4 linked regions of the Arabidopsis thaliana genome follow. The protein of the gene in region 3 binds, or shares a complex with, the protein of the main gene of each other region. Each region holds a gene or a part of one and is shown on either strand. Other genes may lie near its edges.

Region 1 (9,351 bases), about 14 Mb from region 3:
TTGGAGTATATCACCATGATTCCTTGCATTTGCACTAAGATAGGTCTTAATATGTTTGCAGCACCTCTAGTGGCTTCTTCACCTCATAAAGCACCATCACAAGGATCCTCAGCAACTACGTCAGTAAGATCTCCAGGGAAAAAGAGGCATCCCAATCTTATTCTTATCTTTTCTATAGCCGCTGGTGTGCTTATACTTGCCATAATCACTGTACTTGTTATTTGTTCCCGCGCACTCCGAGAAGAGAAAGCTCCAGATCCTCACAAAGAAGCTGGTATGTACCTCTTCTGATTACAAGGTTTAAATTATAGGCCGATCTCAGTTAGGAATACGTGAATCATGTCAAAAGGTACACATCATGTGAGCAGCACATTGGGAAGTTAGCATAGATGTTGGGATAATGTCAACTTTTATATTGGGTTTAAAGTTGTGTTGTTAGTTGTCAACAGACCTTATGTAAAAAGCCAACAGACCTTAGGAATCAAACAAAAGGATTGAGAAAAATGGGGATACATAGATGATGAATGATTGCTGTCCACTTACCAGTGTGATTTATGTTACTTTCCTAAATCCTGGCAATTAACTTTTAGTTCTTGTTCTTAGTAAAAACTTGATCGCATATTCCTTTCTTTCAGTAAAACCAAGGAACCTGGACGCTGGTTCATTTGGGGGATCTCTTCCTCACCCAGCAAGTACACGGTTTCTGTCATATGAAGAACTCAAAGAGGCAACTAGCAATTTTGAATCTGCTAGCATTCTAGGAGAAGGTGGGTTTGGCAAGGTTTACAGAGGCATCTTAGCCGATGGTACTGCTGTAGCGATTAAGAAGCTCACAAGTGGTGGGCCACAAGGTGATAAAGAATTCCAGGTGGAGATTGATATGCTTAGCCGTCTTCATCATCGTAATCTTGTGAAACTTGTGGGTTACTATAGTAGTCGAGATTCTTCTCAGCACCTACTTTGTTATGAGCTTGTTCCAAATGGCAGCCTCGAGGCTTGGCTCCATGGTAATATCTCCTCTTTGCTTCCCTTGCTGCCTATTTTTAGATCTGACATTGTCAAAAGTAGTTATTGTACACTGAGTTCATCTACAAGAGTGGTTTATTTAAGTCATTGTTTATGCTTCAGGGCCTCTCGGGTTGAACTGTCCTCTTGATTGGGACACCAGAATGAAGATTGCACTTGATGCTGCAAGAGGACTTGCATACCTTCATGAAGACTCGCAACCCTCCGTTATACACAGAGATTTTAAAGCCTCTAATATACTCCTTGAAAACAACTTCAACGCCAAAGTTGCAGATTTTGGCCTAGCCAAACAAGCTCCTGAAGGCAGGGGTAATCACTTATCTACTCGTGTTATGGGCACATTTGGGTGAGTTGCTCATATCTCTCGACAGTTTTCATATACAACCTTAAATTCTGAGTTGCCTATTGAATCCGCGATCTGTTTTCAGATATGTTGCGCCTGAATATGCAATGACGGGACACCTACTCGTCAAGAGTGATGTTTATAGTTACGGTGTGGTCCTTCTCGAATTGTTAACTGGTAGAAAACCTGTGGATATGTCACAACCTTCAGGCCAAGAAAATCTCGTCACTTGGGTAAGTAGAAAGTTCTTGTCATCTCCTAGATCTTCCTGCACTTTCATTGTCGAAAACTTAAGCTTTTGAAGTCTCGAATGTAAAAATTTGATTCTGGATGCAGACAAGGCCAGTTTTAAGAGACAAAGACCGGTTAGAAGAACTAGTCGATTCAAGACTTGAAGGAAAATACCCGAAAGAAGATTTCATAAGAGTATGCACAATCGCTGCAGCTTGTGTTGCACCTGAAGCTAGCCAGAGACCAACGATGGGCGAAGTGGTTCAGTCACTTAAAATGGTTCAACGGGTGGTTGAGTATCAAGACCCGGTTTTAAACACTTCAAATAAAGCTCGTCCTAACCGGAGACAATCATCAGCTACGTTCGAGTCAGAAGTAACCTCTTCTATGTTCTCTTCTGGTCCTTATTCTGGTCTAAGCGCTTTTGATCATGAAAATATTACACGAACAACTGTTTTCTCAGAAGATCTTCACGAAGGCCGATGATAGAAGCCAGGGTTTTCTTCTTTTTATTTGTTTTTCTCCCACTTACGGTGAGAAAATTTCCACCAGAGAAGCTTTTGAGTTTGGGACATTATTACAGCTCTTTGGATTTTGGATTCTCCTTTATTGGAGGATAGAATTTTGTATATATTTTTGCGTTAATTAATTAATATTTGCCACAACCATCAGATATACAAATAGAATTTGAATATACTTTTTCCAATATAAAAAAACTATGTACAGGTGATTAGTTTGTACTGTTAATTTTTAAAGGCTTTTTACAGTAAAAGTTTTTACAGCTAAAAGTAACAGTATAATACTTTTTTTTTATGGAATAATCTAAATAAAATATAATCTGTTGAAAAACTAATATTTTAAATATAATTTTTATGGTATCAAACCAATATTTAAAGTAATTCCTTTCTTATTAGTTAAAATCACAGTTTTTATTATTATTATTTTTGATAGTGGTTATGTTCAGGAAAGGACTGTCATACATTCAGGATGGATTTACAGAGATTGCAATGGATGTTTCCTTAGTTCAGGGCGTGCTCAACTTCAATCGTCACAATTATCTCTTCAAGCAGAGGCTCTCGGATTTCTTCATGCCCTTCAAGTGACTTGGTCCCGAGGACTACATTATGTACTTATGTGTGGTTTGAGAGCGATAATGCAGAGCTAGTAAATCTGATCAATACGCAGAGTGATCATAATAAGATCATCACTCTTCTTTATGATATTCGTTATTGGATGGTGAAGCTTCCGTTCTCTTCCTTAGCACATGTTAATTGGGAAAGAAATGCAGCTGCGGACATCTTATCTAAAAAGGCTCAGTTAATTAATTCTCTGTACCACCATTATGGTTAGAAAGATATTTGTATCTCCCTTTACAAGTTTATAAGAAGCATACATATGTTAAAAAAAAAAAATCTTTACAGTTTAAATCTTTACGCTCAGAGATTTTTACTTTACAGCTAATATTCTTAGCCTCAATGGCTAGTATTGTTAACGTCAAAGTTTCTAAAGCCACACAAATCATAGTAGTTACCTTTAAGATAAAATACAATTATAATCACAAATATCTTAATATTTTTACGTTCAGAGTTTATTACTTTACAACTAATACTTATCTCAAACGTAACTGCTATAACCTGTGTGGCTCTAGAGACTTTGACGTTAATAATATTAGCCATTATTAGCCTCAACGGCTCCAGAGCCAGGCATGTCGTAATAGTTATCTTTAAGATAACATACAATTATAATCACAAATAGAAAATAATTGTCGCAAAACCACTAATTAAATTACACACGTATAAGCACTATTCATTCACACGTGTGGCGTTCTTTGTATGTAATGTAACCCCCCTTCCAGTCCACACTCCGTTCGTCCTTCTCACAAGTCTGATTGCGGAAAAAGCAGAGAGAGAGAGAAAGTTCGAGCGGAAGAGAAGCGGAAAGCTCGAGGAGTCATCAATGGTGACGGACGATAGCAACTCCTCTGGACGAATCGTACTCAGATTTACCTTTCAATCTCCTCTTTTTTTTTTTTTTTTGATTTATTATCTGATTTTGCTCGTATGCGCATGATCATTCGCGTTTTTTCAGCTGATTGTTCGTGAAATCCGTTTGAGTTCATCAAATTATAATCGCTCTCTTACTTTTGTTCACTGTTGGAGTTGATGGACCTTATAGAATTAGTGTTTTTCCTCGTTGCTTTTGTTTTTTACACGATTTTTGTTTTGATTTGGGCTTCTGAATAGAAGTCTCATGTAGATGATGATGATGATGGTGAAGAAGAAGAAGATAGACTCGAGGGTTTGGAAAACAGATTAAGTGAGCTTAAAAGGAAAATTCAAGGAGAAAGAGTTAGGTCTATTAAAGTAAGAGAGTTTCTATACTTGATGTTCTTTACTAATTATACTAATGTCTAAAAAATTTGAAATCATTTATCCGTTTTTGATTGTTTTCCTGGGAATGTAGGAGAAATTTGAGGCTAATAGAAAGAAAGTGGATGCTCATGTTTCTCCCTTTTCATCTGCTGCATCGAGCCGAGCTACCGCAGAGGATAATGGAAATAGCAATATGCTTTCTTCGAGAATGAGAATGCCACTCTGCAAGTTAAATGGTTTTTCTCATGGTGTGGGAGATAGAGACTATGTTCCTACTAAGGATGTTATATCAGCAAGTGTCAAGCTTCCTATTGCTGAGAGAATACCGCCATACACTACCTGGATATTTTTGGACAGGCATGCACCTTTTCTAGTTCTCATTTTTGCGTTGGTAGCATGCTATTCTAAATTCAGTTGAACAATAGACTAGAACATCAAATTCAGTTTTCATATTATGTGTTGTTTTTCTTTTCTGAAAAAATATCTTAACCATGCAGAAATCAAAGAATGGCTGAAGATCAGTCTGTGGTTGGTCGAAGACAAATCTACTATGAACAACATGGTGGTGAGACGCTAATATGCAGCGATAGTGAGGAAGAACCAGAACCTGAGGAGGAAAAACGTGAATTTTCCGAGGGTGAAGATTCCATTATATGGTTAGTTTTGCAGAGAGTGTAAATTATGGACTCTCATGTACTCTGATGGGGAAAAATTGTGATACTGGTATTTGAAGAAGTACCTGGGTGGAATTTATTAACCAATGAATCACATTTGTTGATGCTAAAAAAAGATGTCATATTTCGTATTCATATCAAATTTCATTCTGTAAGACTCTTCATTAGCATTAGGTTTGAAATATATCTCACTATATATGAATTTCTTCATACCTCGTTTGACTTGAATTGGCAGGTTAATTGGGCAGGAGTATGGCATGGGTGAGGAAGTGCAGGATGCCCTTTGCCAGTTGCTAAGCGTAGATGCTTCTGATATCCTGGTGCAGTTTTTAGTCATCTTGTTCTTGTGGTTTATCTAATGATGTTTTTCTGGTCTTCCTATTCTTCTTCACTAATGATGTTTGGCTTTCCTGTCTGCTGCAGGAAAGATACAATGAGCTCAAGTTGAAGGATAAGCAGAATACCGAGGAATTTTCTAATTCCGGATTCAAGCTGGGAATATCTCTGGAAAAGGGCCTTGGTGCAGCTCTAGATTCTTTTGATAATCTTTTCTGCCGCCGTTGCTTGGTACTTGGATTGTTCTTTGTGACAGAGAGAGCATGTATTATTAAGTGTTTGTTAATCATGTTAATCCTTCTTTGGTTATTTCTAACAGGTATTTGACTGTCGTCTGCATGGATGTTCTCAGCCTTTGATTAGTGCTGTAAGCTTGAATTTGTCTTTACTTTCTTTAGTTGTATTGCTAAAGTTTCAGTGGACAACATAACAAGAGAACTTTGGTTGACAGAGTGAAAAACAGCCTTATTGGTCTGATTATGAAGGTGATAGGAAACCCTGCAGCAAACATTGTTACCTCCAGGTCTATCTCTCTCTCTGTCTCTTTACATTCTCAGAGTGATTTGTATATTCGTAGTTAATAAACTATATTCATTAGTGAGATCATGGAATATATGCTCTGACCTAGATTGAGGTTTAGCATGTATGCGTTTGCTAGAGGAGTGATCTTTCATTGTAGTTGTACTAGTGCATAGTCTTGTTTATGCAGTAATTTTTCTTGGTTCCAGAGTTTGAATCACCATTATTCTTATGTTAATGATTTTAGCTCAAGGCGGTCAGAGAAGTACCAGAAACATGCAGTAATTTTGCATCTAAAGCAGAAGAGAAAGCTTCAGAAGAGGAATGCAGCAAGGCTGTCTCCTCTGATGTTCCCCATGCTGCTGCTAGTGGTGTCAGTCTGCAAGTTGAGAAGACTGATATTGGTATCAAGAATGTAGATTCATCCTCTGGTGTAGAACAAGAGCATGGAATTAGAGGAAAGCGTGAGGTCCCAATTCTAAAAGACTCCAATGATCTGCCTAATTTATCGAACAAGAAACAGAAGACCGCAGCCTCAGATACAAAAATGTCATTTGTTAATTCTGTCCCTAGCTTAGATCAGGCATTGGATAGCACAAAGGGTGATCAAGGTGGAACAACTGACAATAAAGTAAACAGAGACTCAGAAGCTGATGCAAAAGAAGTAGGTGAGCCTATTCCAGACAATTCGGTCCATGATGGTGGTTCCTCAATTTGTCAGCCACACCATGGTAGTGGAAACGGAGCAATAATCATTGCAGAAATGTCTGAGACAAGTCGACCATCTACAGAGTGGAATCCTATCGAGAAGGATCTTTACTTGAAGGGAGTCGAAATCTTTGGAAGAAACAGGTAAACTGGATCTTGGTAAATTATTATCTTTAAACACAGAACACCTATAACGTATTTACATCTAGTATGTTTTGTCCGTGCTATCTCAGCTGTCTTATTGCAAGAAACCTGCTTTCTGGCTTGAAGACATGCCTAGATGTGTCCAATTACATGCGTGAAAACGAAGTTTCAGTTTTTCGAAGATCTAGTACCCCAAATTTGCTGTTGGATGATGGCAGGACTGACCCAGGGAATGATGTAAGCTCTTGATCTTCCTAGGGTCTTTTGTCTTTTCAAATTTTCTGCAGTATCTGCGACTTTGGGCATTGTTGTATTGAAAGTTAGCTTGTCAGACTGATAGGGTTAGAGATCTATTCCAGAAGAAAAAAGTTCTGATCCGGAAAAGCCAATTTCCTTGCTTAATTTTTCCCTGATACCTGCATTGGACAAGAGAAAACGATAGTTGACCATAAGTTGGCTTAGACAAGTGATTATTTTATTTGAGATTTTATTGATATTAGCATGCCATGTCTGTCAGAATCATATTTTGGTTTACCGCTCTCTTACTTTACTTGACAGAATGATGAGGTGCCTCCAAGGACAAGATTGTTCCGTAGAAAAGGCAAAACCCGGAAGCTAAAATACTCTACAAAGTCTGCTGGTCATCCGTCTGTCTGGAAAAGAATAGCTGGTGGCAAAAACCAGTCCTGTAAACAATACACGCCGTGTGGATGCCTGTCAATGTGCGGAAAGGATTGCCCTTGTCTAACTAATGAAACTTGCTGCGAGAAATATTGCGGGTATGCAAACAAATTAACGTCAATTGAAGTAACAGAGGATCTTCTTATAACCATCCATTGATTTAATTCAGGTGCTCAAAAAGCTGTAAAAATCGTTTCCGAGGATGTCATTGTGCAAAGAGTCAATGCAGAAGTAGGCAGTGTCCCTGCTTTGCTGCTGGCAGAGAATGTGATCCAGATGTTTGCAGAAATTGCTGGGTTAGGTAGTCATTTTAAATCTAGATCTCTTGATGTGCCATATACAATCAAATCTACTATTTGATGAGTAACTTAAGATGCCTTGCTTATTCACTCAGTTGTGGAGATGGTTCTCTCGGTGAAGCACCAAGACGCGGAGAAGGGCAATGCGGAAACATGAGACTTCTCCTGAGGCAACAACAGAGGGTATAATACTGTCATCAAATCATGTATTTACTAAAAATAAAATGCATTCATTGTTGATAAATCTAGTTTCTCATGTGCTATATTTACCAGATCCTATTGGGAAAGTCTGATGTTGCTGGATGGGGTGCTTTTCTAAAGGTAAAGCATGTGAATATCTTCCTCATTAACTTCTGTTTCATACCTCTTGTATGTAATCTGAACCTCATCTGATCATCAGAACTCGGTCAGCAAAAATGAATACCTTGGAGAATACACCGGTGAATTGATCTCACACCATGAGGCGGATAAGCGTGGGAAAATATATGACCGGGCAAATTCGTCCTTCCTCTTTGACTTGAATGATCAGGTGACCAAATCTCTCACCCTTCTTTCTGATAGTTTCCTCTTGAATTTCGCATATGTCAGTAAGCTTTTGATATTTGCAGTACGTCCTCGATGCTCAACGCAAAGGTGACAAGCTGAAATTTGCCAATCACTCAGCTAAACCCAATTGCTACGCTAAGGTACTAAATGCTTCTCTCTCATATCCATTTTGGTATGAAAAAACCACATGATCGGTTAGTAATTATACCTTCTTTCTCACCTCTAGCCACTCAAAAGTTCCATTTAGAAGGAGGACTAGGATTATAACATTTTGTAGAAACTAATCGCAATTAGCACTATAGAAAACAGATGATCAAATCTAGCTTTGTAGGTTATGATCAAAACACACTTGTTTCTACAATCTTTATGATTGTAATGTGTAAAGTAACATGTGTATATCATCTGCTAGATTTATTCAACCCTTTTCGAAAGGTGTTAATTATTTACAAAAAAGAGCGATTTTCAGTCTATTGTCGTAGTAACCATGGTCTCATCGCTTCCCGCATAAGTACGGTGTCTTTTTCTGTGTGGTGTAGGTGATGTTTGTAGCAGGAGATCACAGGGTCGGGATTTTTGCAAACGAACGAATAGAAGCTAGCGAAGAGCTTTTCTATGACTATAGATATGGACCAGACCAAGCACCAGTGTGGGCTCGCAAACCTGAAGGCTCCAAGAAAGATGATTCAGCCATTACTCATCGTAGAGCCAGAAAGCACCAATCTCATTGATGATTACTGGCTAAGAGAAGTAACTTTTATAAAAATAACTTATAGAGTTGTGAGAGATGATATTTGAAGTTTGATAACTTAAGCTTGTCTTTATTAATTAATTATTATAGAGTTGAGATTTTATTTTATTTTGACATCGAGTTTGGACTTTGTATAGGTGATAAAACAATTTATGAATTATTGGGGTCAATAAGTAAAAATGTATCATTTCGAAAAATAGTTTCAAATTTATGGATTTTTGAACAGCTAAAGCCAATCTATGTACTTTTCAACGAATAAAACTGATTTAAAATAAGTGAACGAACCAATCACACTAAACCAGTGCCTAATCTCATAAAAAGTAATCCGACTGCTAAACCGTATTCCGGTTCGAATCGGATACGGATCCGTTTCCCAGTTGATTAGTCGGATCCAGTTTCTTCTTGCTTTTTCAATTCACATTACGAATCTCCGACGCCAAAATTCTGCTTCCGGTAACAGATATTTTCGTCGTCGAGAAGAAGCAGGAGTTTAGAAAAATGGCGACGGAGGCAGCTCCGATGGACGAAAAGGCGAAGAGAATGAGAGATCTATTGTCGAGCTTCTACGCACCGGATCCTTCAATCTCGACGAGTGGTTCCTCCATCAACGCCTCTTTCGATAACATCAACAGCACTTCCTTTGATGCTGATCAGTACATGGATCTCATGGTTAGTCTTCGTTTCTTGTCAGAATATTCGTGAATCGTCAACACAAGCGTCAATA
Region 2 (8,128 bases), 5.3 Mb from region 3:
TGCGTTCCATTGGAAACCCAGATACCATTTTGGTGGAATCATGTTCGTCTTCCTCTTGTTCATCGCCAGAGCCATCTCTGGTTCGTTCCGATTACTTGACTAAACCTTCTGATCAAGACCAGATTTTTCCGTTGAACAAGATAATAGCTAGGTGTGTACGTTCAGGAGATATAGATGGAGCTCTTAGAGTGTTTCACGGAATGAGAGCTAAGAACACCATTACCTGGAATTCTCTGCTCATTGGGATTTCTAAAGATCCAAGCAGAATGATGGAAGCACACCAACTGTTCGACGAAATCCCTGAACCAGATACTTTCTCTTATAACATTATGTTGTCTTGCTACGTTCGTAATGTTAACTTCGAGAAGGCACAGAGCTTCTTCGATCGGATGCCATTCAAGGATGCGGCGTCATGGAACACGATGATCACAGGGTATGCACGAAGAGGTGAAATGGAGAAAGCGCGGGAATTGTTCTACTCCATGATGGAGAAGAATGAAGTTTCTTGGAATGCCATGATCTCTGGATACATTGAATGCGGAGATTTGGAAAAGGCATCACATTTCTTCAAAGTGGCTCCAGTTAGAGGCGTCGTGGCTTGGACGGCGATGATCACAGGGTACATGAAAGCCAAGAAGGTTGAATTAGCTGAGGCAATGTTCAAAGACATGACAGTGAATAAAAATCTTGTAACTTGGAATGCTATGATCTCTGGTTATGTTGAAAATTCTAGGCCAGAAGATGGATTGAAGCTTTTCAGAGCTATGCTTGAGGAAGGAATTAGGCCTAACTCGTCTGGACTAAGCAGCGCATTGCTCGGATGCAGTGAATTATCGGCGTTACAATTAGGGAGGCAAATACATCAGATAGTGAGTAAATCTACATTGTGTAATGATGTAACAGCATTGACGTCTCTGATCAGTATGTACTGCAAATGTGGAGAACTTGGTGATGCTTGGAAGCTCTTTGAGGTGATGAAGAAGAAAGATGTTGTGGCGTGGAACGCAATGATTTCCGGGTATGCTCAGCACGGTAATGCGGATAAGGCTCTGTGTTTGTTCCGTGAGATGATAGATAACAAGATCAGACCGGATTGGATAACGTTTGTTGCGGTTTTACTGGCCTGTAACCATGCTGGACTAGTGAATATTGGGATGGCATATTTCGAATCGATGGTGAGAGATTATAAGGTAGAACCGCAGCCTGATCATTACACGTGTATGGTTGATCTTTTGGGTCGGGCTGGGAAGCTGGAGGAGGCATTGAAACTGATAAGATCAATGCCGTTTAGACCTCATGCTGCGGTCTTTGGGACGCTCTTAGGGGCTTGTAGAGTGCACAAGAATGTGGAATTGGCTGAATTTGCAGCTGAGAAACTGCTTCAGCTAAACTCGCAAAATGCAGCCGGGTATGTGCAGCTTGCGAATATCTACGCATCGAAGAATCGTTGGGAAGACGTTGCAAGGGTTCGCAAGAGAATGAAAGAGAGCAATGTTGTGAAGGTAGAGCGAGTCAAAGTTCGATTCTTTATTCGAGTTACAAGACTCTAATGTATTTACTTGACTGTTTCAGGTACCTGGATACAGTTGGATCGAAATACGAAACAAAGTTCACCATTTCAGATCAAGTGATCGGATTCACCCTGAACTAGACTCAATACACAAGAAACTGAAGGAGTTGGAGAAGAAGATGAAACTAGCTGGATACAAACCGGAACTAGAGTTTGCTTTACACAATGTAGAGGAAGAGCAAAAAGAGAAGCTATTGTTATGGCACAGCGAGAAGTTAGCTGTTGCATTTGGTTGCATAAAACTCCCTCAAGGTTCACAGATACAAGTGTTCAAGAACTTGAGAATCTGTGGTGATTGTCATAAAGCAATCAAATTTATCTCGGAGATAGAGAAACGAGAGATCATTGTAAGAGACACCACAAGGTTTCACCATTTCAAAGATGGGTCTTGCTCTTGTGGCGATTACTGGTGAAAAGAGAAGAGCTTTGACTCTCTCATTGGTCAAACCTGACTGTATTTATATGCGTTATTGTGTGGTAAAGTTTCGACCTTTGACTTGACAAGTTGCCGTTAAGAAGAGAGATGCGTAGATCAGCGAGTGGTTCTAGAGTTTTGGATCATTTTCCGGCGACTTCAAGGTCTCCGCCTCGATCTCAGAGTGTTACAGCAATGGAAGATGATGTGGAGCTGCTTTTGCCTAGGTACGATCCGAATTCTCAAGCGGGGAAGAGAGAGAAATCAAGATTCAGATTTTCAGAAAACGTCATCCATTTGATTCCTCTCATTCTTCTTCTCTGTGTCGCAATCCTCTGGCTCTCCTCTTACTCAGGTAAGCCGAGAAATTGTTTCAATCTCTATGAATCCATAATTGATCTGTGAAACTTAATTAGGGATTTTACAAAGACTCATATGGATATGAGGATCGAGATGTCTCTGCAACGTTAGAATCTTGTGTTGAATTATGGTTTCAATTTGTTCATATAATACTAAATCGGTGATGGATTTGGAATTTGTCAGCAGCGTTAAGGAGTTGAGTTCCAAAAGCAACATGTTGTCTTGTCTCCATGGGAACTCATATTCAGTTTTGGGAAAGGAAACAATTCTTTTACCGCCGGTGATTTTGTGCCGCAAACCATTCGTATTTGTAATTTTTGGTTCTGTAGACACACAAAAGGATCTCTCGTTTTCATGAAATGTATGTTTAATATTTCAGTGATATACATCACACAACTCAAGTAGAAAACACTGATGGTTATCCATTAATCATTCTATTGGTCGAAAAAAAGATTAGTTTCAACTTAATGCCACCTTAGGATTATATGTTCCTGTGAGTTTCAGCTAGCCAACTCAACTAGAGTTAAACAATGGAATCAAAATACATATTCAGTAATTTATTTTAAACTCTGACTATTTATGTAAAACACAAATGGAAATCAAAATTGAAGGTCATGAAGATTCTATTCTTAGTGTGAAAAGTATAGATCAATGATTCTTAATTTCTTCATCCTCCACGCATAGATCAATGGTGAATATGGTTTTAAATCCTCTAATACTCACTGTACTGCCATGGTAGAGTTAAAAAAACAATTTTAGAAATATTAGTGGATTAAGGCATTAAGCTGTCCAAGTTGCTTGTATTTTCTTTTCATTTTATTAATTAAAAAAAAAGTTCAACTATTTATTGACTAATAATAATACGTGTTAAATGGTTATCGGTTTAAAATATGGGCCATAGGCCCAGACTTGAAGAAAAACTTGAAACCCAAAGTTTTATTTTTACTTGTTTTCTTTCTCAGTGAATATCTCCCAATCAAGCTTCTTCAATTTTGCTTGCTCTCTCTCTTACACGGCCAATCGGTGTTTTCGCAGCTTTCAGGTTTGTCTCAATCTCAAATTAAATCGGAGTCAAGTAATAACAATTGATAACCCTAATTGTTTCAATTATATTGTAAGATTTGAAATTTTGCAGTAGATCCGGAATCGTATTCTAGTTCTGGAATCGTTGATCTCGATGGAATTTTTTTTAAGATTTCTTCATACACATTTGGTTCAAAAGATCACATAATTTTATTTTAATTTGATAAGTATGATGATTCTGCTAAGTGGCATTGGATAAAGTTTTCATTTTTGCAATACGTCTAAACTTGTCTATGTCTTGAATGAACTCTCTGAGTTGCTTAAAAAGTCTTGTGCTTTCTTTATTACACAGGCCTCAATACAAGACATTCTATATAAGCATATTGCAGAAGAGGCGGTTCTAATTGTTGCATGGAGTTGAACAATATGACGTAGGGAAATTCTAATTTAGGGGAGGCCTCAGAGTTTGCACTAACTTCATAATCAGCTCTGGACGTTGTTGATTGTATTTGAACAAGAATGTGTAGGCAGAATTGTCGCGCGAAATCCTCACCGGAGGAAGTGATTTCAACTGATGAGAATCTCTTGATATATTGTAAACCTGTTCGACTATATAACATCTTTCACCTTCGCTCTCTAGGCAACGTATGATTTGGCCTTCCTCTCTCATCATTTTAGCTTAGTAATCTTTCATCTCCTGTGTAGATCACCCACTAATAGTTTGAGTTTGCTAAGCTGATTATGGTCTGACTCATGGCGAGTGTGTGCTTCTTTTGTCTCCTAATGTTATTTGAACTTGTTGTTTGTTGTTGCAGCCATCGTTTCTGCCAAGATGCTTGAACTACAAAATTGGGGCAAAGCGCAAAAGAAAGTATGCGTTTCTTCTTGAATGTAGTTGCCACAGTGATATGTTATTTATCTTACTTCTAATATGGAAGCTGATGAACTATTTATCTTTGTTGAGTAGATATGGACATAATGAATGGTTTCTTCTTTGTTCATGCTATACACTTATATTTTACAAAATTGTGTTTTGCTTAGGTCAAGATCTACTGGGATGGTAGTTTTCAACTATAAGGATTGTAATAATACATTACAAAGAACTGAAGGTTAGTCTTTTTCTGTTCTTCGACAAAATTCGATGTCAATGTCTATGTTTCTCTAGATGATTTGTTATTTACTATTTTTTTCTGTATTGTCACGCAGTTAGGGAGGATTGTTCTTGTCCATTTTGCTCTATGCTATGTGGTAGCTTCAAGGTGGGCAACTATTACAACTGAGGTTTCTTCCGGGGCCTTTCATATCTAACACTGTGAAATGCTACTGCCGTTTAATGCTATATACTTTCACTGTTTGGTTACATATTTTTGTGTTTGTTGTTTGTCTTCTTGCTCTTTTTAAACTGCTGAGTGTGTGCTTATCTGAGAAAACATGTTCCAGTTCGAGCTTACAATCCATTGTCTTGTGTCTATGCAGGGGCTGCAATTTCATTTGAATTCATCTCATGATTTATTTGAATTTGAGTTCAAGGTATGTGGTTTTATGGAATTTCTTGTTTTGCCTATGCCGTTAGTAATGAGGTTATAGTTAAAAAAGGGTCTTTCCTATTGTAGCTTTTGGAAGAATACCAGACAGTTAATGTTTCTGTAAAACTTAATTCCTTCATATTTGAGGTCAGTTACTTTAAACTTGGTTAATTGGGAAATCCTATAGCTGGTGAAAATTTGGTTTATATTCCATCCTTATTTGTACTAGGAAGAAGGAAGTGATGATGATAAATTTGAGCCCTTCTCTCTCTGGTAACTCTCAGAACCCCTTGATTAAATACCTTAATAGCAGTAACTCCTTGCTTTTCTTGTCAGTACTTCTCTATAAATCCAACCACAATGTTTTGCAGCTCGAAACCTCGTAAGCGTAGACAAAGAGGTGGCAGAAATAACACCAGGAGACTTAAAGTATGCTTTTTACCGTTGGATTCACCCAGTTTAGCTAATGGCACAGAAAATGGAATTGCCCTGCTGAATGATGGTAAAATCACATCTTCTTCTGTGGTATTCGTTGTGGCTTAGAACTTCATTTTACAGAAGAAGATACAATGTCCTGATTGTTTAGTTTTTGTACTTCTCCTCGCATTCTTCTTGTGAGGGTAATGTTACCAGAACTGATGTACAAAATTAATGGCATGCTACAGGAAACCGTGGTTTAGGATATCCCGAGGCAACAGAGCTTGCTGGACAATTTGAGATGACTAGCAACATTCCACCAGCCATAGCCCACTCTTCTCTGGACGCTGGTGCTAAAGTTATATTAACAACCGAAGCTGTGGTCCCTGCTACTAAGACAAGAAAGTTATCTGCTGAGCGATCAGAGGCTAGAAGGTTTGTTCATCATGACACCCCGTCATCATAATTACCATACCTGTTGTTACAAATGTTCTTCCTATTATGGATAAGTGTTTACTGTACTGCCATATTAACCGAGAAAATTTCTTCCAGCCACCTACTTCTTCAGAAACGCCAATTCTATCATTCTCACAGAGTCCAGGTGATCCAAGTTCCTTCACCTACTTCTTAGGCATTTTCTTTAAATTGCTCATGATGATATCTTATCAAAGCATACTTGGTTTGTTCTCATCTAAATTTGTATTTTGATTCTGTATGTATCAACGCAAAAAAATTATGTCCATGTTGTCTCCGTTTTATTGCCACTAACCAAAAACTGCATGTTTCTTGTGACAAGCCAATGGCGCTTGAGCAAGTAATGTCTGATCGGGATAGCGAGGATGAAGTCGATGACGATGTTGCAGATTTTGAAGATCGCCAGGTATTCCATGATTTCTTTCTGCGTTCATTAAGTAGGCAACAGAAAATGGTATACGATGTAACTTGCTAATGGCTTTTGAAACTTAAAAAAGCTGCAGATGCTTGATGACTTTGTGGATGTGAATAAAGATGAAAAGCAATTCATGCATCTTTGGAACTCGTTTGTAAGAAAACAAAGGTAACTACTTCTCTTACACTTGAACACACACAAAAAGACCTTATGTCTTACATTCCATACCTGTCTAAATGATTCTGCTTATGGAACTTTGAGCTCAAATTATGATTGATGTTTGCAGGGTTATAGCAGATGGTCATATCTCTTGGGCATGTGAAGTATTTTCAAGATTTTACGAGAAAGAGTTGCACTGTTACTCATCACTCTTCTGGTAATATAAGTACACCAAACATATACAGACACATAACTACACTATCAATTTTGTTTCGTTTTTCTGAAAGAAAAATAAAAAATTCCAGGTGTTGGAGATTGTTTTTGATTAAACTATGGAACCATGGACTTGTCGACTCAGCCACCATCAACAACTGCAATACCATCCTCGAGAATTGCCGTAATACCTCAGTCACTAACAACAACAACAACAGTGTGGATCATCCCAGTGACTCAAACACCAACAACAATAACATTGTGGATCATCCGAATGACATAAAAAACAAGAACAATGTTGACAACAAGGACAATAACAGCAGAGACAAGTAATTAAATAGGAAACACTCCGGTTTAGATGATACCGATCTATCGGATTGTAACTTATTCTTCTTTCTTAAAAAAATTGTTTAGGAGCAAACAAAGATTTTATTTGTTAGTGTATTCAACTGATTACATTTTTAGTTAAAAAAATGGATTCTCCTTAATAACTAAAGACTGAAAAATAAGATAAGTTTCCTTAATTTTTCTTTTTGACTTGAGAAAAAGCTCCTCTAGACCTCTAGTAAATAGGAGTTATATATTAATCAAGTACATAACATAAAAATATATATATTAAGTGCAAATAGATTGAAAACAAATCAAGAAATTAATTAAGACACAGTGATTAAGCTTAAAACCCCATTTTGACTTGTTCTTTCTCAATGAATCCCTCACAAGCAGCAAGCTTCTTCGATTTTGCTTTGACACCACCAATCAGTGTTTTCGAATCTTTCAGGTTTGTCTCGATTTCAAACTAGATCGGAGTCAAGTGATAAAATTGACTAACATAATTATTCCCGTTCTCTCGTAAGAGTTGGGATTTAGCAGTAGATCGGAAATCGGAATTTACGTTTTTGTTAAAAGATTGATGGTTTAGGTAATAAAACATAGTTCTGGATTCATTGCTTCTAGTTGATTCTCGAATTGTTTGATTTCGCAATGCACATTTTTGGTTCAAAGGATCACATAATTTGCTTTAAAATTTGACAAAACATACCATCAAATTTCTCATATTTCTTCAAGTAACTCGAACTTGTTGGAAATCTATATACTCTGGGCTATGTAGATAAAGTCTTAACATTTTGGTCAACATTGTTTGTTCTCTAAACTAGTTTGGGTTCTCTGTTTTAAAGTTTGGTGCTTTCACTATTACACAGGTCTTATACAAGACTACAGTCTCTAGAAGCATAATATCGTCGACTCTGTTTTGAGTTTCCCAACAGTGGTTGAAGCTTAAGGAGGTTCTTATGTGCCTTTTGAAATCATGATTGAGGTAAAGCGACCTGGTTCTTCCACGCGGATCACCACAACACTCCTTGATTCTTTCATGATTCTTTTCAGAAACAAACACATCTTATTACCAATCTTTGCTTTCATAGCGATCCCTCTCGCAGCCTTACACCTCTCCTTAACTCTTACCTCCTTTCGCCTTAAAAACCATGTCTTTCGTTTAGAAGCCTTAGCTAACGTTGTGCATACACGGTTTGAAGCTAGACAGATTTGGCAAGAGTCTA
Region 3 (7,998 bases):
CCTTGTTTAATCTGCAACTAACCACGAAATACAAAATAAAATAAAATGACATGTTTTGACGAGTCTAAAAAGGGCTATGGCATGACCAAATTTGATCTTGATATTTGTTTTTACAAACTTAATTAGCATTCTGAGTTTTTGATCTCATCATCCATAGTCCCTCGAAAAGTAAAATAAATACTATTCACGACCAATGCTTTATTTCTTGAAACTAATGTTATATAGTTTGCTCAAAGACAAAATATTATGAAATATATGTGAATGAGATTTTTTTATCACACTTTTCGTACTTACCCCATGCAATGATTCATGATTTGTTTTTCTTTTTTTGTTGGTAATGCCATCACAATTCACAACCCCTTTAGGGACCACATGAGATGATAACATTAAAATTGTTATAGTTTAATATTCTTTTATATATATGGTATGTTGCCACTTGCCAGTCCACATTATTCAATACTTCCACCATTAAGTCTAACAGTTTTTTTTGCATACATATATAGGATTCTTTGTCAAATACAGCTCGTAACAATGTACCATGCACGACTTCCGCATAAAAAATATTCATTCAATCATCCCACCAATACAGATGATGGTGTTACATATATTCATTTATGTAAAATTTATTATCATCAAAGTAAGACCTATTTCGATCGTATATTTCGCACTACTACATAATGCTTTGGATGTAAAGTAGCCAAAAATGGTTGTTACGACTTACGACTGTGCACACCGAACATAAAAAAATTGATCTAAAATTCTTGGACGCTTTGATTTTGGCTACACCGATTAAACATGTCAATGAAAAGTCAACGGGATTTTTGGCTTACACGTACGTAGGATCAAACAATTTTTTAGACATAACATATTTGTCATTATTTTGAATCTTAAGAGCTGTTAATTTGAAAAATTATAAACCTCACTTTTTCAATATAAACATGTATGTTATCCGTACTAATATTAGCTAGCTTTTACTATGGCATAGCTATAGATGATTGCTAACTAGGTTAGGTGGAGATTCAATAACAACAAATTAAACGATACGAAAGAAGCATGACCATGTACTTTACTTATCTTCATATGCTAGCTGTTGCTAATTATATGTGTTTCATTTATCGTCTTTACTAATCGCTAAGTCTAACGTACCATATATTACATATTTAGATCGTAAGTTTCATGTCCAGTACCTTGATTCATGTGACCATATCTGTATACTAGAAACAGTTCGTCTGACGTAACATATTTTGGCATAATAAAAATTATGGGTACACGATTGTTAACCGATGTAAATACAAATTAATTAAGAGATGTAGAACTTTTAGACAATAAACAAAACATAAACGAGAAATAAACTACAGATACAGTACTTGAAACTCTTGAACTCTTCGTGATAGCTAGAAATAGAAATCTGCGTCTTCACAGTTGACAAGAAACCTAGAAAAACAGATTAGGTGTGCTATTAACGGTCAGATTATTCTTATATAAGTTCGATATGCGTTCTCGAATATTATTAATTTAAGCTAAACTAGACCCAAAACTCCAAAAGAATCCAACATGTTTATCCATATCTACCTAAGACTACTTGTGATCCAAATAATTTTCGAAAAACAATATTTCTGTATTGATAAATAAAGGTCAAATTATCAATTACCACTAATATATGTTTTTAAAAAAAAATTTGCTACAATGTTTTTGCAGGTGTACTGTGTTAGGCACATGTCGTTTTATACCCTTCAAATCCAAGTTTTTCCCGTTTGTGATGATAGCCAATGCTCCCGTAACACACACGTATACAAATTTGCCAATGTCTATCTAACACGTGTTATTACGCAACATGCTTATTCCAAAATAAACAAATTAAGATGAGATAAGTGTCACATAATTATACAATATGAAATAATATCAATTGCATACCTATTTTATATACGTGAGTGACTCGTAGGAAGTAGAAATCCTCTTTGTTTTATTAGGAGCATATATCTTCTCAATTTACTTTCTTTTCTTAACTCTCACGAATCCTCTTTTAATATTTTCTTAACTCTCACGAAAACAATTCCTTTTAAACTTTGAAATTTCCTTAAAATTGAAAAGTTCCTATATATGAAACTGAAACATGATATAATTGACCATCTTATATTTCACTTTCTACTATAAAACAATTCAAACTGTAAAAAGAAGAAGAATTTACTAATCAATCTCAAAAAAGTAAAATAAAATTTAAACACACAGAAAATTACGAACGTTACGAAACCAAAATCACAGAAATAACGTGAACATAAAAAAAGGGTAAAAAATTAAAATAAACTCTTTTTTACCCTTTTTGGGGGCCCACCAGAAAACTGCATCTCTTATAGGCCTCTCTCTCTTCCATAGACCCATCTTCTTTCTCTTTCTCTCTTCCTATCTCACAGCGACAATCTCTATCTCTCTCTATCTCTTCTCCGCTCACAGCGAATCTCTCTCTCTCTCTCTCTCTCTCTCTCTTCTCCGGTGTATTCCGTTCTCCGGGAATTTCTCCGAAGAGGGAGAGAGGAAAAAAAAAACGTCCGATTCAATCTCTTCGTTGCTCGACGAATTTTTCTTAAGCTTTCCTTATTGGGTAACTTTCTTTCCTTTTATACTTTTTTCCCGATCTCTCTCTCTCTCCTCTGTTTTATTATTTCACTCCCAAATAAAAGTTTTTATTTTTTTCCATTGTTTTACCTAATTTTTATGTTTTCTTCACATCGCAGAGATTTGAAGATTCTGAGTGGTTGTTATGATAATGTGGGTTTGATTAGTTCTTCACACACAGCTTCTCTACGCTCATGGATTCTTCTCTCGATGGTATTCACTTTTAGATTTCTGGGTTTCATTGGTTGCTTAAGATTTATCGATATCCGTGTCTCTTTGTTTTTCCCTATAATAATGTTTCAACTTTCAAAAATAAATAAATAGTCTTACTTCTCTTTGTTTTTAGCTTTGATGATGAATGATGAAGCTTTGGATTCTCAAATTTGTGTTTATTTTATTCAATTGTTTTCGAAAGTTGGAGACTTTATATACTTTTTACTAAGTTGCTACTGAGTTTAGATTACTAATCTTTCTATTTTCTATTGCAAGTTTTATGTTTTCTAATTGGTGATTATTCTAAATGGTGGGTCTTTACTTTTTTTTTGGTTGATTGGTTCTAACTTCATATTCTTCTGTGTATGTGTGTGTGTGTGTTTCTTCCACTATCATTGGTTTGATGAATTCTGTTTTTTAATTTAATCGTGCGTCAGAAGACTATATGACTTTTGTTCTGTGTATAGAATAAGATTCCATGATTGATGAATGTGGGTTCTGTTACCTAAAAGAATCATGCTTTCATTCTTTGCTTTGGATCTTTGGTTTCAGAATCATCTTGAAGAGCATTGATCTTTCCTTTGTCATGTTGTTTGGTTCTCTCTGATTCTTTGATGTCTATTGACCCAACCTTATCAACATTGTTGTCCTGTGGTGGTTGTTGAACTATCTTTGTTTTTAGATGAATAAAGTGTTTTAGTTTTCAGTATTCTAAATTAGCTTTGTGTTTGTATTTATTTGAATTTGGAATCATTCTTCTTAGTTTTGGTAAACAAGAAGATCAGACACAAGTTTCTTTGGTACATTCTTTTATTAGTCTTGGATAGTTTTGTGTGTTTCTGGTTAAGACATTGTTGTTCTCCATTGCCTTCACTTTGAGTTCACATAATTTGACTTCCTTTTCTTCTATATGCAGGAGCTGCAGGTGACTCATCGAAATGCAGTGAAATGAGTGTTGATGAGAAGAGACAGCTTGTTTATGAACTGTCGAAGCAATCACATCTAGCTGCTGAGGTCTTGCAGGCATGGAGCCGCCAAGAGATTCTACAGATCTTATGCGCAGAAATGGGAAAAGAAAGGAAGTATACTGGTTTGACCAAAGTCAAGATCATCGAGACCCTTTTGAAAATTGTATCTGAGAAAAACTCTGGAGAGTGTGAAGGGAAGAAGAGAGATTCTGATTGTTTGCCTATTCAGAGAAACACTAAGAGACAAAGGAAGGTTGATAATCCTTCTCGGTATGTGATTCCAGCAACCAACATTGTAACAAGCAACAATGCCTCAGGGAGCTGCAGCTCGGTTAATACTAAAGGTAAACAGTCTTCTTTTTTTGGTTCAAAGTTATCAACCTTTTTGTACATACTAACCCGGAAATAGAATTTGGTCAGGTGAGAGTACTACCATCTACTGCAAAAATTTGGCTTGTCGTGCTGTACTGAGACAGGAAGACTCGTTTTGCAGAAGGTGTTCATGTTGCATCTGTCGTAAGTATGATGATAACAAAGATCCTAGTCTCTGGTTAACATGTAGCTCAGATCCTCCATTTGAGGGTGAGTCTTGCGGATTCTCGTGTCATCTTGAATGTGCTTTCAACACTGAAAAATCCGGTCTTGGAAAAGACAAGCAAAGTGAGGGATGCTGCTTCTATTGTGTCTCTTGCGGTAAAGCAAACAGTTTGCTTGAATGCTGGAAGAAGCAATTGACGATTGCTAAAGAAACCAGAAGGGTAGAAGTGCTTTGTTACCGTCTTTTCTTAGTCCAGAAACTATTGAAGAGCTCAACTAAATACCGAAATCTGTGTGAGGTTGTGGATGAAGCTGTCAAGACTCTTGAAGCTGATGTGGGTCCTCTCACTGGTCTTCCTATGAAAATGGGTAGAGGAATTGTAAACAGACTTCATTCGGGACCCGATGTGCAGAAACTTTGCTCTTCTGCTCTTGAATCTCTTGAAACTATAGCAACTACACCTCCTGATGTTGCTGCATTACCTTCACCTCGCAGCTCCAAGATGCAGCAAGGTCAGAACTTTTGTACCCTTCAATGATTGAGTAATATATTAAGTTTGTTGAATAATGTTGATTCTCTGATTTTGTTTCGTAGATTGTTCTTATGTATTGAGCAATGAGATATCTGCAGATACAGCAACCACAGGATCAACCAAGATCAGGTTCGAGGATGTAAACGCGACTTCACTTACAGTGGTTCTCGCCTCTAATGAAATTCCCTCACCTCCAAACATCGTTCACTACAGTATTTGGCATCGTAAGGTACCAGAAAAAGATTACCCGGAGAAATCGACTTGCACATTGTTTATTCCAAACACAAGATTTGTTGTCTCTGGATTAGCTCCAGCTTCTGAGTACTGCTTCAAAGTTGTGTCCTATAGTGGAACCAGAGAAATGGGCGTTGATGAAATCAATGTTTTGACACGTAGCGCTGAAGAAGGAGCGAATTGCTCTTCGGCAGTGGAAAGAAGCGTAAGCCCTCTCACAAATTGCAGCACATTGTCTTCTAATCCTTCTTCTGTTGAAGCTGAGTCCAACAACGATTACATTGTCCCAAAGAAGCCATCTTCAAAGAACGAAGACAACAATTCTCCTTCAGTCGATGAAAGTGCTGCGAAAAGGATGAAGAGGACAACCGACTCAGACATTGTACAGATTGAGAAGGACGTTGAGCAGATTGTGTTGTTGGATGATGAAGAACAAGAAGCTGTTCTGGATAAGACGGAATCTGAAACTCCAGTCGTGGTTACTACGAAAAGTCTTGTTGGTAATCGAAACAGTTCAGATGCGAGTTTGCCAATTACTCCCTTCAGGTCAGATGAAATCAAGAACCGTCAAGCTAGAATCGAAATATCGATGAAAGACAACTGTAACAACGGTGATCATTCAGCGAATGGAGGAACAGAAAGTGGATTAGAGCATTGTGTGAAGATCATAAGACAACTCGAGTGTTCAGGACATATCGATAAGAATTTCAGACAGAAGTTTCTGACTTGGTATAGCTTGAGAGCAACGTCACAAGAGATTAGAGTTGTGAAGATATTCATTGATACATTTATTGATGATCCCATGGCTTTGGCTGAGCAGCTCATTGATACTTTCGACGACCGTGTTTCGATAAAGCGTTCTGCGGTTGGTGGTAGCGGTGCGTCTGCAGTTGTTCCATCTGGATTCTGTATGAAGTTGTGGCATTAGAGAATGGGAACTTGTGCTCTGTTTTTTTCAAGTCATTTTCAAAACGTTATTCTAATTATTGGGAAATTTGCATTATTGGAACATTTCCATGCAAGAACAGTAGTACTGTTGCTATCGAATAGATCGTCTTTGTCGGATTATTTATTTATTTTTAGTGGATTTGATTCCATTTATAATTTAGTAATTAGTCCTAGACTGAATTATTCTTATTTCGTTGACTATTGGATTATGTTATTTTATCAAGTAGGTTATGAAAATGACCATTTCTTTGTATGAAGCTGTGAGAACAGTGAAGATTTTAAGTTCTTTCGAAATTAAATTTGTTTAAACTTTATATTTTGTAAATAAAGCTATCCAACTTTATTGGAATTCGAAAACTGCAGTAACAAATGCAACAAACTAATACGTCATCGTCATTCATCATCACATAAAGGTTTTTGGTTTGATTATGGGTTCCATTAGTTGATTTAAGCACAAAGAGGTTGCAGAGACACTTTGTTTGTTTTCTCTAATATATACATCACATTTGTTTGTTTGTATACGTACATTCATAACAACAAGCAATGAAAGTATATATATAGTTTTATTGGGGTTCGTATCAAACAGATGTCAAAAAGCAGAACTAGTGTTGTGTTGAATTTTCCAAGCATCATCTCTTTGGCTTCATTGATCTTAGAAGCACGATAGTGACTTTCTCCAGCGTTCGGGTGGTTTGCAACAATCACTCTACATGTCTACTCTCTACTATCCTAAACTAGACGAACCACAGACTAAGTACAAATTATGAGGTTTGATCTCAAGTGTGTTGAACCAAATACCTCTGACATATAGTAACCTGCAATGCAACACTACATCCAGATTTCCAAACCCAACAAACAACATCGGATGTGTGATTTGCAATAACCACTACACTATTAGTTTCTTCCTGCAGTGTATCTGAGGATGTTTCAAGCTTATTCTCAAATTGTTTGGAGACCCTTATGGGCCTAACAGCCCAATAATATCTATGTGCTTTTGGGCAAATGATTGGAGACCCTTATGGGCCTAACATGTTGAGAATTTCTTGTTCACTTGTTTCTATTGACTTAAGAAACTTGGTAGTTGGTACATATATACACTATATACAACAACTTGAATCAACAGTAAGGAAGGAAATAATGATTCCAAGTATCCAACTTGTTGTACCATGAATAGAAGTGTGCACATAATATTTCTTTTTACCAAATCATGGGGTAGAAAAAGAAAAGGCACATGAAAGCGAAAGAAAAAGAAGAAGAAGAAAGCTGGTCCATTGAATGTTGGAAAAAATGGACAAAGGCATGTTACGATTATTCCTCTCTTAGAAACCTTTGAAAATATTTTATGATTTCAGCGAATCTTTAGCAAGAACAACAAGAAAACAAAGAGTAATATATATACTCAACCCATAGTTTTTTTAAAGTTGCAAAAAGTAGGAAACGGACACAAAATGACCATGTCTGATTATATGATCAAAGAATCCAATCTGAAACCATTTTTTGTTATTTCCAGCATGCTCCATATTCCACTAATCTTATATATATATATATAAATATCTTATAGAATTAGTTTGTGTTTCCTTTCCATATTGTTTTGGGGACATTTCCTAATTTTTATTTGAAGCTTCCAACCTATAATGAGCAGAGGTAAATTAAGTGAGAGCCTTTCTTAGGCCAATCAGTTCTGGTTAGTCGAATAACTTAGTTGGTCGATGCAAATGATAAACGAAGATATCTTCATGTGCGTTGAAGAAAATATAGGCATACCAAATTTGTTTTCAAAACTTATGCCAATAACAAAAATAGCATAAAATTAATTAAACTAACGAATTTGTTCATTTCTATCAAATAACTCACTATTTGATAAAATGATGAGTTTCCAAATCACCAGGGGTCATATGACCGTTTCTCAACGCAAAAACGTTAGTCGATGTTTTTGCAAAGAAGCTGCTAGA
Region 4 (6,264 bases), on a different chromosome or scaffold from region 3:
TCTGATGATGAAAGTAATTTCCAGGGCAACAACCTTGTCATTACTGCAAAAGATGACAAAAGAGAAACAGAGGCAACTCAGGGAATAGAAAACTCGGAGACTGATGAAGAGAGGAACTTGACGCACTTAGGCAATCAAGAGTCAAAAGCAGACCATCTTGAAGGAGCTGATGTTTCAGCAGATGTTGTGCCTACTGAGACCAGGTATCAAATGCATACAACTAGGTCTCTTCTTTACTGGTCCGATCCTTATATTAGGATAATTTACTTCATTGATGGATCTCTTGTTTTTGAGTAATAGAAAAAGTCATTCAAGTTGATCATATTGGCACCACTTCAGTTTGAATTCTTATATCTTTTGTTTTTACAGACAAATTTCAGAGACAGGAGCCGGTGAGGTGAAAGAGACGGAAACTGGTGAGGTGAAAGAAAGGTCAAGTTCGTGGAGCAACATAATGTCATTTGCGAAAGAATTTGCGAACTTTTGGAGATGAGGGTAGATATAGCCAGGGAGCTTTAGACACGCTCAGGAAGGGTAGGTAGAGGTGTGTAAAGTATACCAGTAGAAGCTGTTTTGTTTTGACATTTTGCGCAAAGGTTTGGAATCGACCAAGATGTCTTAATCTAGACTATTATTGTCCTGCTGGCTATGAGTCTAGATTAAAACACACAACAGTTTTAGAGGCTTGTTTTGTGATCGACCATTTTGTACAAAGGTATAGAATCTCCCAAGATGTTTAACATGGTAATCTATACTATCGTTGTCCTACTCACAATGAGTCTAGATCAAAGCTCGTATTTTCGCTAATTCATTGTTTGTTCTACAGAACTACAAATCCAAATAAATACTCGAATAGACATTATTTCATAGCAATTTTTATACATGTCGAATAAAGACTTCATTTCATAGCAATTTTGATACATGTTCCCGTAGTGGTACAACCAAAACAAAATGTGTTGGAAAGTTGGTGCCGCAGACAGCAGTAGCATAGCTCTAGCTCCCACGGTATGTGGAGAAAGAAAAAGGTGCAAGCAACAGTGGGACATGGAAATGCTCCCATTTCTGTGATTCTGTAACCTGAAATACAATGGAAACATAGGGAAAGAAGCAGCCTGGGGAATACTTTGCAGTGTCGAAGCTAATCCTATATGTCCCTGGATTCAAAGCGTCAACCAAATCCATCAGTGGCCCACTGCGCCCATCTCTATCAGTAGCTGATGTGCCCACACTGGACCAGACCCCACCACCTCCATGAACAAAGGAAGGACCGGTAGTACCACTCCACACTTCTAAGTGCACTTCAACACCTGCAGCTGGAGCACCACGTGAGACGTCTAAGACATGAGTCGTGATCGGTGGCCTACTTCTCTTGGGAGCTTTTGCTTCAGCTGCAACATTCAAATGCCCTCCAATGATTCTCAGACGATCTTACAAAGCGAGAAAGTAGAAAAGGTCACACAGATAACAAAGATAGCCATAAGGGTAAATCCTTGTATTCCAAAAGACACATACTTGATATCATACTGAATCCTAACAGGTTCAAACCCACACAGTCAAACACAAAACTTTGACAAGGAAAAGATTTGGTAAATCATCAATATACCTTGAGGTTTTGTTGAAACAGGAGAGCTAGAGCTGTCAGTTTCTGATATAACTTTAGCCTTATCGGAGAACAGCTTTGCCATTCGTAGCTCTGTTATTTTCATTTGTTCCATAGCAGCAATCTCAAGCTCCACTATTGGCCTATTTTCATACCTTTCCTGAAAAAGAGACGATTTGATGAATATGTAACTTTCTCATTCACTCACACTCAACAAAAACTGATTTGGAAATGCAAAAGTTGACCTTTAACGCATGGAGCATCTCAGCGTGAGTCCTGCCAGAAGCGCAAATAATGAAGATAAAGCCAAACTTCTTTTTGTAAAGTACATTCCATTCGGCAAGCTCCTAAGAAATTGAAAACAATTGATCATCAGAAGAAGAAATCACTGAAGAGATGAAGGAAAAAAAAAGTGAAGATCCATCACCTGTAAAGCAGAAGCAGAAGTTGTGGCAAAGGCGGTTGACTGTTCTGATACGCTCCGACGAGCAAAATCGGAGTTGATAGAAGGTGAAGGAGTATTCCCAATCTGAGGATGAGCAGAGAAAGCTTCAAGCCAATCTGTCACATTAACTTGGTTGAACCAGATGTCTCTTGCAGTATATATTGCTTCTTGAGAAGTTAACGGTCCAGACGTAGACATCTGCTTCGCGAATTCGGAGCTTCCACAGCAAACCTTCCATTCATCTTCTCCGATCTCCATCGCCATTTTTTCTCTCTTTTCTCCAATCCTCACTTCTGTTGACTGGTGTAAGATCAAAAGTCATCTAATTGGGCCTTTTCATAAACGGGCTTTTCAAAAATGGGCCTTTTCTTTATCTTCTTCCTTTTTTTATTCATCATCTTCTATATGTGAATTATTCAGAAACAGAAGCGAGAAGTTTCTTACAATTTGTAAAGAGATCTGTTTTAGGGTTTTGCCTTGTTCTTGTGGCGGGAATAACAAAGACATCGCCGATATGGGGAAAGACGAAGAGGAAATGCGAGGTGAGATCGAGGAGCGACTAATCAATGAAGAGTACAAGATCTGGAAGAAGAACACTCCTTTCCTCTACGATCTCGTTATTACTCACGCTCTCGAGTGGCCTTCACTTACTGTTGAATGGCTTCCTGACCGTGAAGAACCTTCCGGTAAAGACTACTCCGTTCAGAAGATGATTCTCGGTACCCATACCTCCGAGAGCGAGCCCAATTACTTGATGCTAGCCCAAGTTCAGCTTCCTCTTGACGATACCGAGAGTGAAGCTCGTCAGTACGATGATGACCGCTCTGAATTTGGTGGCTTTGGCTGTGCAACTGGAAAGGTGCGATTTTTTATTTTTGTTTCTCATTTCCAACTTTCTAGATTTGATTCTAGGGTTATAACGAGGTAAAGGATGATAAATGTTAGTTTGATTGCTTGTGTAGGTACAAATTATCCAGCAGATAAATCATGATGGTGAGGTTAATCGAGCTCGCTATATGCCTCAAAACCCTTTCATAATTGCTACCAAGACAGTTAATGCGGAGGTCTATGTTTTCGATTACAGTAAGCATCCATCTAAGCCTCCTCTTGATGGGGCTTGTAATCCTGATTTAAAGCTTAGAGGTCACAGCTCTGAGGGATATGGTCTCTCTTGGAGTAAGTTCAAGCAGGGTCATTTGCTTAGTGGCTCTGATGATGCTCAGATCTGCTTGTGGGATATTAACGCTACTCCTAAAAACAAATCTCTGGACGCTCAGCAGATTTTTAAGGTAATGCTTTGGATTTCTATTCGTTTTTAGTTTTGTTTTGTATCATCTAGAAAGGAAGGAATTGCACCCACTTAACGGAATCAGTTACACTTATGAAAGCTCATAGATAGATATTCAGGTTGGTTTCTGTGTTTTCCTTGCTGATGATTATTTTCTGAACTTAAGGCTCATGAAGGGGTTGTGGAAGATGTTGCATGGCATCTGAGACATGAGTACCTGTTTGGATCAGTTGGAGATGACCAATACCTTCTCATATGGGATCTGCGTTCTCCATCTGCCAGTAAACCAGTACAGTCTGTGGTTGCTCATTCGATGGAGGTGAGTTTGCAATATATTAGCTTTAGATACAGATAATACTTCTGGTTTTTAAGCTTGCTTTCCTTAACACTAAAAACCATTGAATCATATTGCCTCGTATGTATTTGCTAATTGTTGAGTTGTTTGAAATGCCTTAGGTTAACTGCTTAGCCTTCAATCCATTTAATGAGTGGGTTGTGGCAACAGGATCAACTGACAAGACTGTTAAATTATTCGATCTACGGAAGCTAAGCACCGCTCTTCACACATTTGATAGCCACAAGTAAGAATGATACGCCATAAATATTGCCGCTTTGAGATGGATTTTGTGTTACTAAGAAGTATTTACAAGTTACAGCAACATCACTAACCTTAATTATGTGCTTGATCTCCAGAGAGGAGGTTTTTCAAGTTGGTTGGAACCCAAAGAACGAGACTATTTTAGCTTCATGTTGCCTTGGTAGAAGACTTATGGTTTGGGACCTTAGCAGGTTTGGGCCGTAGACTTTAGTTCTTTAGTTTAATGTTCATGTATGGTCATGGAGGAGCAATATTGATATGTTTGAGGGTGTCTTATGATAGGATCGATGAGGAACAGACAGTGGAGGACGCAGAAGACGGCCCACCTGAGCTGCTGTTTATTCACGGTGGTCACACTAGCAAAATTTCAGATTTCTCGTGGAACCCTTGTGAAGATTGGGTTATTTCCAGTGTTGCTGAGGACAACATACTCCAAATATGGCAAATGGCTGAAAACATCTATCATGATGAGGATGACGCTCCAGGGGAAGAACCATCAAAAGCTTCTTAGCTTGTTATTTAGTATCCAAAGCGCACTGATCTTATGGGACAGTATTTATTTATACATCTCTGCTATTGTTTAGTTCAAGTATTTAGTGTTCATTGTGTAAAATGAGGCATGAGAGGATGGTAGCAAGTGGGAATTTTTCTTTATAACATGAAGGAGTTGATTCTAATCTCACTAAGTAGTGTCAACCAAAGCTATAACTCTTAGTTTATACCCAGATTGGGCGACATTAGAAAGAAATTACAAATTTGAATCAAAGTCTCTGACATAAAATTTCAAACTGAAAGTCACTTGTCACAATGGTCCTTATTAAAGCTACTGGATAGCTTGGTTTGATTTGATATTGATAAATGATAACTAGCAATCGAAAAGAGATCTGTATTGGGAAGCCTCGTCAGCCATCTCCTGAATGCTCCTATCAACCCGGTCTTTATCTAGATCAAGCTTCTGCTTCAGTTCCTTCTCCTTCTCATCAAGCTACAAGAAGATACCACCATAAGATTTGTATAAAACCAAAGCTAGGAATGTGATCAAAATGCAACAACTTACAGCATCATAGATTTCATCATTCTTCTCAAAGTCACCACCTTTACGAGGCAAGATATGAATGTGTACATGGGGAACAGTCTGTCCCGCTTGAGGGCCATCCTAAGCCATTTTCATGAAACCAAAGTTAGATCGTTTCAATTCCAATCCATTAAGATTTAGACGCAAGAAACAATGACGAAAGAAAGGAGATGTTTAGTTTACTTGGATGGCTAATGTGAGAGAAGACGCATTATGGAAGGTCTCAAGCTTAGAGCCAACCTTCTGAGCAGTAAGCCACAGGTCACTGGTCTCATCAGCTGTAAGATCAGTAAATCGTGGCACAAGGCGTCTCGGGCAGACAAGAACATGTGCTCGTCTGGTTAAAGTCATCCAATAGAACTCAATTTACAAAACAAAACCGAAAAATGAAGAACACACAAAAAAAAGAAGGATATGACCTGCAAAAAATAGATGAAAAAGAAGGTCAGAAGAAAGTTGAAGAGGTTCGATGAATAATTAGAGAGGAATGAGGCATACCAGGAAGAAGCGGACGGAGATTAACCATGGCATAAGAGAGAGGCGTTGCGTAGAACACTTCACGGGGATCGATTTTGTACGGCCCAAATGCGTACGAAGAACAAGTAGACGACATCTGCAGCAATCAAAACACTCAAAAATCAATCCTTCTAACTTGTAAAGTAGAGACAAAATGTTGGATCGTATAAGGAACTTACCTTTCTCTGACAACGAATACTAGATAAGATCGTCTTCCCGGTTACTTGCAGGTTCAGCATCTCAGCTCCGCCTCCGTCGCCATGAAAGTCACAGTTAACGCCTTTCCCTTTTCTTTCTTACGGGCTTGAAGAAACCCATAACACCTTATTGGGCCATTACTGAAGCCCAAATAACATTAAAATCAATTAAAAATTGAGTTGAGAAAGGGAGAGAGAGAGTGATGATAATAATGGATGACCCCCGGCAAAAAAGATAAGATTTTTACAGATTCTGCCTCGATCAACAGACTCTAATCAGCAGCAAATGTGGAGCGTCACCGGAGCATTGACTGTGGCGGTGCCGCCTACCGCCGCCGCTTGCCGTACGAAACCCTTTCTCATCTCCTCTTCCTTTCCCAAGCAGACAAAGAAACTCCATCTCTCTTCGCCTTCTCTGTCTCTACCATCATCACATTTCTCCTCCTCTTTCAAAACCGCAGCTACCTCCATCGAGCAACAGTCTTCTGTTAACAAGGTTTCTCTTTTCTTTCTCTCTCTCTCTTTTCCTCTTGACCAATCAAACC

What was found.
Region 1: VEL1 (region 3) and SWN share a complex: the UniProt entries of both Arabidopsis thaliana proteins name them as parts of the plant homeodomain / polycomb repressive complex.
Region 2: VEL1 (region 3) and VRN2 share a complex: the UniProt entries of both Arabidopsis thaliana proteins name them as parts of the plant homeodomain / polycomb repressive complex.
Region 4: VEL1 (region 3) and MSI1 share a complex: the UniProt entries of both Arabidopsis thaliana proteins name them as parts of the plant homeodomain / polycomb repressive complex.

The regions. Positions count from the first base shown.
Region 1 is NC_003075.7:883,137-892,487, forward strand, and holds SWN (SET domain-containing protein), read left to right. Parts: upstream 1-3,443; 5' UTR 3,444-3,556; coding exon 3,557-3,592; intron 3,593-3,843; coding exon 3,844-3,963; intron 3,964-4,063; coding exon 4,064-4,329; intron 4,330-4,469; coding exon 4,470-4,628; intron 4,629-4,881; coding exon 4,882-4,966; intron 4,967-5,069; coding exon 5,070-5,213; intron 5,214-5,301; coding exon 5,302-5,349; intron 5,350-5,433; coding exon 5,434-5,505; intron 5,506-5,748; coding exon 5,749-6,353; intron 6,354-6,442; coding exon 6,443-6,590; intron 6,591-6,911; coding exon 6,912-7,132; intron 7,133-7,203; coding exon 7,204-7,335; intron 7,336-7,428; coding exon 7,429-7,516; intron 7,517-7,606; coding exon 7,607-7,654; intron 7,655-7,733; coding exon 7,734-7,862; coding exon of another isoform or gene 7,863-7,941; coding exon 7,942-8,019; coding exon of another isoform or gene 8,020-8,070; exon of another isoform or gene 8,071-8,415; coding exon 8,416-8,607; 3' UTR 8,608-8,851; downstream 8,852-9,351. Other genes in the region: AT4G02010 (Protein kinase superfamily protein), read left to right, coding at 62-274, 636-1,007, 1,129-1,372, 1,455-1,602, 1,706-2,086; AT4G02030 (Vps51/Vps67 family (components of vesicular transport) protein), read left to right, coding at 9,126-9,296. UniProt on the Arabidopsis thaliana protein: Polycomb group (PcG) protein. Catalytic subunit of some PcG multiprotein complex, which methylates 'Lys-27' of histone H3, leading to transcriptional repression of the affected target genes, mainly abscisic acid (ABA) responsive elements.
Region 2 is NC_003075.7:9,472,821-9,480,948, forward strand, and holds VRN2 (VEFS-Box of polycomb protein), read left to right. Parts: upstream 1-3,248; 5' UTR 3,249-3,387; intron 3,388-3,720; 5' UTR 3,721-3,887; coding exon 3,888-4,013; exon of another isoform or gene 4,014-4,183; coding exon 4,184-4,239; intron 4,240-4,409; coding exon 4,410-4,477; intron 4,478-4,574; coding exon 4,575-4,627; coding exon of another isoform or gene 4,628-4,649; intron 4,650-4,844; coding exon 4,845-4,898; intron 4,899-4,981; coding exon 4,982-5,041; intron 5,042-5,123; coding exon 5,124-5,167; intron 5,168-5,265; coding exon 5,266-5,396; intron 5,397-5,559; coding exon 5,560-5,746; intron 5,747-5,863; coding exon 5,864-5,912; intron 5,913-6,107; coding exon 6,108-6,191; intron 6,192-6,288; coding exon 6,289-6,368; intron 6,369-6,486; coding exon 6,487-6,576; intron 6,577-6,664; coding exon 6,665-6,905; 3' UTR 6,906-7,058; downstream 7,059-8,128. Other genes in the region: AT4G16835 (Tetratricopeptide repeat (TPR)-like superfamily protein), read left to right, coding at 1-1,502, 1,573-1,983; AT4G16840 (uncharacterized protein), read left to right, coding at 2,094-2,340, 2,529-2,545; AT4G16850 (uncharacterized protein), read left to right, coding at 7,879-8,128. UniProt on the Arabidopsis thaliana protein: Polycomb group (PcG) protein. Plays a central role in vernalization by maintaining repressed the homeotic gene FLC, a floral repressor, after a cold treatment.
Region 3 is NC_003075.7:14,784,880-14,792,877, reverse strand, and holds VEL1 (vernalization5/VIN3-like protein), read left to right. Parts: upstream 1-2,376; 5' UTR 2,377-2,599; intron 2,600-2,732; 5' UTR 2,733-2,807; coding exon 2,808-2,826; intron 2,827-3,742; coding exon 3,743-4,138; intron 4,139-4,214; coding exon 4,215-4,844; intron 4,845-4,926; coding exon 4,927-6,026; 3' UTR 6,027-6,346; downstream 6,347-7,998. UniProt on the Arabidopsis thaliana protein: Maybe involved in both the vernalization and photoperiod pathways by regulating gene expression. Binds preferentially to dimethylated histone H3 'Lys-9' (H3K9me2).
Region 4 is NC_003076.8:23,553,553-23,559,816, forward strand, and holds MSI1 (Transducin/WD40 repeat-like superfamily protein), read left to right. Parts: upstream 1-2,459; 5' UTR 2,460-2,559; coding exon 2,560-2,904; intron 2,905-3,007; coding exon 3,008-3,334; intron 3,335-3,499; coding exon 3,500-3,652; intron 3,653-3,789; coding exon 3,790-3,914; intron 3,915-4,026; coding exon 4,027-4,122; intron 4,123-4,213; coding exon 4,214-4,442; 3' UTR 4,443-4,693; downstream 4,694-6,264. Other genes in the region: AT5G58210 (hydroxyproline-rich glycoprotein family protein), read left to right, coding at 1-203, 370-493; TTL (transthyretin-like protein), read right to left, coding at 994-1,427, 1,604-1,760, 1,846-1,947, 2,028-2,309; FHIT (FRAGILE HISTIDINE TRIAD), read right to left, coding at 4,797-4,916, 4,989-5,087, 5,190-5,338, 5,505-5,619, 5,702-5,761; EMB3143 (YCF54), read left to right, coding at 6,006-6,215. UniProt on the Arabidopsis thaliana protein: Core histone-binding subunit that may target chromatin assembly factors, chromatin remodeling factors and histone deacetylases to their histone substrates in a manner that is regulated by nucleosomal DNA.